Drosophila melanogaster: one gene and its partner. The gene in region 2 interacts genetically with the main gene of each other region. Each region holds a gene or a part of one and is shown on either strand. Other genes may lie near its edges.

Region 1 (3,926 bases), on a different chromosome or scaffold from region 2:
ATTCGATGGTGGAGCCGCTGGCCAGCAGGGAGAGCTCGAATGTGGACTGCGGGTGGGAGGCGGATAAGGTTATCAGTGTTCTATATATAACAAGTTCGGTGCTAGTAAAACAGCGGGAATCTTATCTAGGATGTAATAGTATGAGTACCAGCCCATTTTAACGAATTTACAGTGCGCTTCAGATTGCTGGAGGATTTAGCTAATGAAATATAAAGTAATAAAAGCTGCGGGCAGTCGTAATAATTAATAACTAAAGTTTGAGCAAACTAAATAAAGATTGCACGCAATATAAAGATAATGAATATCACAACAAGAATAGACATATTAGAATTACAATCGGGGAATAAATGCATTTTAAGTTCGGAGGTATAATCATTTGCATAATTTATGCCAGTCACTCAACCATTTACATTTATGCACCGCACTGTACCTGTGCAATGGGTCGCATCTAATCTAATCTGCTCCAATTTGCATTTATCAAGCCGTCGAATTAAAAACAACGCAATCTCCGCAAGCAATCAAGTGCAAATACAATAAAATGAGCTAATTTGGAGCCAGGCACTGGGATGCACTGTTCCATGTTCCCCGTTGGATGCGCTTGCTCACCGGATGAATGTAAATTGAATCGTAGCGGGAGCTCAGCTCCTCCATGCGCTCGTCATCGCGAATCCCGGACGTCTCCTTCAGCCGCTCGAAGTGCTCCTCTGTGTGCAGGCGCAGAATTTCATCCTTGGTCGCCGATCTCGAGGGCAACTCCAGGCAGCGCTCCGTCAGATTTAGTTCGCGACAGCTGGATGAGGAGATTAGGGAATACATATCAGCTTAATTTGTACCGTTTTCTTCAAATATACTCACCGTTCCAGGACTCGTGTGAAGCGCTCGGGACACTCGTAGTGCTCCTTGTCCCACAGGCAACAGTGCTGGCTCATGGACTCATCGTAGATCAGTGCCGTTGGTTTCCGCACCAGACTCTTGCTGTTGACAGCCTTTTCGTCGGCGACGATTAAATATCACTTGGTTAGGATTGCACAAGGACAGAGGATAGAGGTCAGTCAGATAGCACTCACATTCTGGAATATATCCGTGACGCTCTCCTGCGATCCGCAGCCCTGATTCTTGAGCATGTTGTTCCGAGCTCGACGTTTCGCCTCCAAGAGCGCTGCGTTCGGTTTGTTCGACTTTCGCGGATCGGCGGCATTAAATCCGCCGCTGATACTGCCGCTGCTGCTGCCGGTGCCGCCGGCCGCCGTCGCCGCCCCTGTCGTGCCCGTCTTCGATTTACTGGCCATTGCCCGTGTCTGAATCTTTGCCTGCTGCGCACTCCGTCGCGTGACGATGGGCGGGCTCTGCGAAAACGAATTTAAATCTTTAGTAAGCATTTCCCGCTAGGTAGACACACAACGCAGCTTCTGGCGGGGATTCATGCACAGATGGATCGCCAGTGCTGCTCCCACAGGCGAATTTGATTGCCCACTGGGGTGAGACAAGTGCTCAAGAATCCAGTTACCTAACCCTTTCCAAACAACCATATGTGGAATGGCATGAAAGATTTTACCAATGTTACCACATAAAAAAGCAACTCTCGGCCTTTTTCAATCGAAGATTACGGCGATTGACATAGGACTTTAGGAATCTGGATTGCAACTAATCTGGATTAAAACCTGTATCCAAATATCGCGTAACATCTATGGTCTGTAACTTTTTCGGTTAACTGCTTAAAATTTTGTTTACTATTTGCAAAAATGTAGTTTTTTTGCTGTTGCTAAACATTTAATCATGTTTTACGTTACACTATGCTAGAATATTAAAAATTTGAAACATGTCAAAAAAACTTCAAATCTGGACTGTTGGGTTTATTGCTCAAATTAATACTGTACAGTTTGTAAACTTCAAATATATGTTTATATTTCTTTTTAACTTCAAAAACCGAACATTGAGGTTTCACTGTATTTGGAACAACTACACGATAGTTTCGAAAAGCATAGCTTAAATATATCTTGTAGCTGTACTTAGACTCATATAAACAACCTCTTAGGACTTTGAAACCGTATATTCAGAGCGTTCTTCACGCGGAGGCTGCACTGCGTTTTCAGCGGACAACTGTTTACCACGAAGTTCGGATTGGAACTGCGGCGATGGAGGAGCTCAAAACCTGGCCAAGAAGCTTGCACTGTACGTGTGTGTGTGGTGTGTGGGTGTTGCTGTTTGGTTGCCACTGCCGCTTTTGGCCAAAACAACTCGAAAACGGCGGCAATAATCTGCCAGTACTCACCATGTTTGTGGGATTTCGAGTTGGCAAGCAAAGCTAAACCGATCCGAAGAAAACAGAATCGAACCAAGCGAAATCCGTATCCGAATCGGAGTCCAAATCCGAATATATATGGAAGTGGAGCAACTGGAGTGACTGAAAGCGCGGGGGAGCGGGACGGAGTGATTCACAGCTGCTTTTTGTTGTTGTTGTCGCTTTTTAATATCGCATTTACAGTATTTATATTTATTGGTTACTCCTATTCCGCTCCTCGACTCCCGTTATTTATCGATTCCTTGCAGCACACTTTTCTTTTATAAATTAGCCTTATTTTGTGTCTCGCTCTTACAGCCGCACCGAATGCTTGTGTGTGTTTGCGCTTCAAATGCTCTGCATTTGTGTTGTTGTCTTTTATCGTTGTTCTTGTTGTTTCTTACGTGTGTGTGCTGCTTGCAAACAGCTAATACTTAAAACACTGAGCAACAAAATTAAGCTTTTGCAGGCGATTGTCTTTTGATTTTTGGTAACGTTGCAGTTGATGCAGAAGATGCAGCAACAGTAACAGATACACAGACACTGCAGCGCGCACACACACAAGGACACGCGGGAAATCAGAACCTGAACCAGAAATCACACACAAGAATGTGGGGCCCGGTTTGTGGAGCGCTGTGGGGGTTGCGAGGCGGAGCGAGAGAGAGAGACGGTGAGCGCGAGAGACAGAGTGAGAGAGATGGGAAATGAGAACGCGCGGGCGGAGCGGAGTGCAATGTTTGTGTGGCGTCTTCTTCTTGCTACTTACAACGATCAGCTGCTCCGCCGATTGACACAACTTGTTGAATAATCGGTGTTAGTCGAGGGCCAACGTTATCAGCTTATCGATGTGCGTTTTTTATGAGAAATTGCTTGATTATGAGAGAAAGTGGAGGGCACAGATTGGTTAGGCAACACTGATTGTGTTTATGCGGTGTTAAAGACTTACCTCTCGCTAAAAGGAGCATTCGAAACTCGATTAATATTGGTTTTTCCATTTCAAAATAGCCTAATATCGTTCACCGCATCGATAACTACTACTTGAATTCAATAGCTATCGATTCGAAGGGCTTTCGAGTCAAGGGCGCCACATCCATCTTGTGGCTTCCGCATCCATGCTGCCGTTTGTCCAGGAGAATGTGCCGGAGATGCTGCTCCAGCCGGCCCGGTTGGCCTTCTGCGCCAATCTTCACGTGGGCCGACCGCGGGATGACCCCACTACATTGGTTTTAGCGAGAAACCTAAAGTTCTACGAATTCCGGCGCAAGGATCTGGTGCACTACATCGATTTGAAGGTCACGAAACTAAAGCAAATAGCCACCCAACTGGAGGCCTACGACGGACCGGTTTGTCCCTTTCTGTCCAAGCAGGAACCCACTGACGAAAAGGTGGACTGGAGCATGCTGGATCCGCCGGAGGATTTGCCCCTCAAATTTGGAAAGTTTGTGTGGCAACGGGAGGGCATCTACCTGTTAATTCAGTGCTGGAAGCATCTCGTCGTCCTAAAGAGGCCCAAGGATCACGGGGCCAACTTCGAACTGGTGGCGGATCACAAGGATGTGGTGGACTACCAGATGGTCGAAGGTCCCATTTCCTTCCAGGCCGTTGTGGAACTGGAGTTCGGCAATGGCAAGCGTCAGCGTTGTGA
Region 2 (3,700 bases):
TAGTCCTAGAAGGAGTGTGTATGATCTGACTCAATCAAGTGAATTCTTGGTGCCAATTAACCCGTTATTCTAAGGAGATGGAAAGTGCCTTCAACTGTAAGGAATTGACCCTCTGTACCATGTGATATTAGCTAAATTAATTCTTAAGCTTTAATGTTCTTTTATAGTTATTATTTAATTTATGCCAGGGTCCGTAAATCACCAAAACCCCCTTTTTGTTTTACCTAATTTAAATGTATTTAATAATTCAAATCATTGCTCCATGGTAATATTTAAATTTAAAATAATTATTTAAAATCTGGATCGTAAAAGTACAAAGAGATTGATGGACCAAAACTCGACACTGTGCCCTAACCATGTGGAAACATTCTTAAATTTGGAAAACATTGTAATATAATTATTTTTTGGTCCCTGGCTAGGAGTTCGTTAATGACCAAAGCATTGTCCGCCTAGGAGTATCGCTAGTCTAATAAAAACCCCAGAAAAAAACACAGCAACTTAAGATGAAGCATGGCTTCCTTTATTGAACCACTCCATATAGATCCTGCCGAAGCTTTATTATAATAAATGTACGAAAAGGGTAGAAAGGGGAATCGCTTTAAGAAATCTCCATGGGCACCGCCTGGACGCGTTCGGTGACGAGTAGGTCCTTAATGTTGGTGTGCAGCACGGTTGAGGTTCCGGTCTTGAAGCGGTAGTCCAACTGGCGCTTGCCCTTCTTGTTAGCCAGCTCATAGTTGCGCAGATACTCAACACTGCCCTTGCGGATAACACACAGATCGATGTTGGATCCCGAACCCAGATCGTTAAACACTCCGGAGGCGATGGCATCGCGCACCAGTTTCTTGCCCTCCTCTTCGGACAAGTCAGGTTTCCAGCGACTTTCGAAAACGGTCATGGCGGCCAGGGAACCCGATCCCATGGTGGCGTACGGCAGCTTATCCGAACTTCCATGTGGGTGAATGGAATAGATGTGGGGTCCAGTCTTATCCACTCCACCAAGCACCAGAGCGGCACTGATATGACCCTGGTAGCGGAAAAGCATCTGCTTCAACATCGTATTGGCGGCCACAACGCGCACCTCACGATCTGTCTGCAAGCGATGCAGCTCCAGCTGGGAGGAGATGAGATCCGTAGTCATCTCAGTGTCCGCAGCGGTTCCAGCTCCACAGCAGCTGAAGGTAAATATTTTCGTTAGGTATTGGGAGATACTTGCATGTTAGAAAGTACACATATTTTTAAGTTAGAGCAACATAAGCTACACCCTAAGATCCTCAACTTAAAACACGGGCCCCTTAAAATTGGAGACAAATTGATCTAAGCCGGCGAGGACAAGGAAATAGGCCCACATTTGAAATGCAGGAAAAAATACCGTAATCCCTCTTATAGTATTATTAGGTTCCCTGTGCACTTAAAGGCGCATACCGTCGGTGGACTTACTATATGTTTTTGGCCAGGTAATGGATCTTGGCGCAGTTCTTGTCCGAGACAATGGGTCCCTCGGTGGCTCGCGTATCGGCGCCCAGAATAACACCATCCTTGTAGATGATGCCAACGATTGTGGTTCCCGTCTTGGTGGTGGTCGGTGGCTTGAAGCCTCGATTCAAAAGAGTTGCATTGCTGAAAGCAAATAAAACACCAATTAATAAAAGCCGATGGGGTATTGCTGAACAACTTGGACGATTCTTACCGCTTGCAGTTGTCGAAATTGAAACCAGCGCGGGGCAGATCGCGTGCGTTATCCAAATCCATTATATATATTCTTCAATTCAACTATATTAGCAAGGAAAACTAAGGTTTTAATTCTGCCGAGCGCGATGACAAACAAAATTGTTAAATGCTTGCTAGAGCTGGAAGTACAATCGATATTGTATCGATATATATTCATGGACTCAACTAGAGCGATAGTATTGAAGAAATAAATTATTAATAATTTGACGTTATTAATAATTTGACTTATGTAACTTAAATTATTCAATGTTGTATTATTTTAATATTTTAATGTTGCATTGTATAATTTTAAAACTTTTTAATGTTTGGAAATATTCCCCGCAGTATACATGCAATAAGTGCTTAGGAAGGCCCCTTATCTTTTGTAAGCGAATAGTCATGTTTGAAAAATATCGATATACTGTTTCCACCTGACCATCTTGGCATAGTACCATCACTTTTGTGAACTGCATCCCTGAAGAGTATTTTGGTAATTTACCATGTCTGCGGCCACCAAATTACATAAAACAAGCTGGTGCGCCCTGCGGCAGCTTCAACAATACAGAACTAAGGGTAAGTAACACTAATTAGGAGTCCTTTTATTGACCAAAGATGGAGGAAGTGGTTTACATAATGCCGGCAGTCATTCACGTTCCGCGGAGCTCTTCGGCTAGTGATGGCAGTTCGTTGATGTCTTGGCGGAAAAATCGCTAGAATTTCTATAGATCCCAGTTATTATTTTAGATAGTCAACCATAATTTAAATTCAATTTGTTGAAACTGTACTATAAAATATGTCTTTTAACTTATTAATTATCCCTACAGCCAACTTTAGTGGCAGTTCTGCATCGTTAGCCAAGCGGAATGACCTGTTCAACCAGGAGCAGCGCCGTCAACGGGATGCAGTGGGTCGAATCGATAAGATCGAGGTGCGGTATCTGGGACTTCCCGAGGATGTCACTCTGGTGATGAACGGCAACATCTCAACGCCCTTCAATTGCGCCCAGCATCTGAGTGAGGGGCACTGTAAGCGATCGGCACTGGCCTTGATCGACGGCAGTGTTCCCTGGGATATGCACAGACCCTTGCAGGAATCCTGTACTCTGCAGCTGCTTAACTTCCATGTTTCCGAGCCACATGTGGTCAACAAGTGAGTGCTATACTATTTATAATATGGCATTTATATTAAACTTGCTTATGTTGTTTACTTTTAGAGCATTCTGGCGCACTTGCAGCTTTATGTTGGGAGCCGCCTTGAACCGCGCTTTCAAGCCGGAGGCCAATCTTCAGCTCCACAGCTTTCCTGGACCCAATAGTAAGCAGAATCACTTTTTAGGATTTAAGATTAGGATATTTTTTTTACTAGGTTTCGTCTTTCCCCCTTTTAATTGGATGAAAATTTCATAGATATATATCTTAAAACTAATACTGTCTGGAATATTCTATAAGCGAGACAAATTATAAAATTACTCCTATTACATTTCACAGTCAAATCAGGTAGCTTCGTACACGACATTGTGCTCCAAACCCAGAACTGGGAGCCAGGAAAAGAAGAGATGCGCGCCCTTTCGGCAGAGATGGTTAAACTGGCTGCTCAGGATCTGCGCATCGAGCGTTTGGACGTCCAACAGGATCTGGCCCAGGAGATGTTCAAGGATTCCAAGTATAAGAGCGAACAGTTGCCCAGCATCTCGCAGCAGACCAATGGAAGGGTCACCTTGTATCGCCTGGGTGATCATATCGACATCTCACGCGGTCCAATGGTGGCGTCTACCAGCTTTTTGGGGAAATGCGTCATCTCGGCTGCCCACAAAGTTGCGGAGGAGGGTCCCTCTGGTGCTTTCTATCGCATTCAGGGCGTTGCACTGCCGTCTGGCTTCCAACTGAATCATGTTGCATTTGGTGTATTGGAGGAGCGTTCTAAGAAACCTGTGAGTATATCTCGACGTTTTTCGATAAAGAGCTGTGTCACAAATTTAAAACACATTTTA

What was found.
Region 1: of Prosbeta2 (region 2) and HDAC6, changing one suppresses a phenotype caused by changing the other (phenotypic suppression), as found in Drosophila melanogaster (one study listed by BioGRID).

The regions. Positions count from the first base shown.
Region 1 is NC_004354.4:15,332,410-15,336,335, reverse strand, and holds the start of HDAC6 (histone deacetylase 6), read right to left. Parts: upstream 1,859-3,926; 5' UTR 1,686-1,858; coding exon of another isoform or gene 1,662-1,685; 5' UTR 1,380-1,661; coding exon 1,068-1,379; exon of another isoform or gene 987-1,067; coding exon 856-986; exon of another isoform or gene 791-855; coding exon 607-790; exon of another isoform or gene 365-606; intron 47-364; coding exon 1-46. Other genes in the region: CG9114 (uncharacterized protein), read left to right, coding at 3,394-3,926.
Region 2 is NT_037436.4:14,998,120-15,001,819, reverse strand, and holds Prosbeta2 (proteasome beta2 subunit), read right to left. Parts: upstream 1,870-3,700; 5' UTR 1,753-1,869; coding exon 1,691-1,752; intron 1,621-1,690; coding exon 1,441-1,620; intron 1,176-1,440; coding exon 599-1,175; 3' UTR 501-598; downstream 1-500. Other genes in the region: mRpL39 (mitochondrial ribosomal protein L39), read left to right, coding at 2,211-2,283, 2,535-2,859, 2,924-3,024, 3,198-3,640.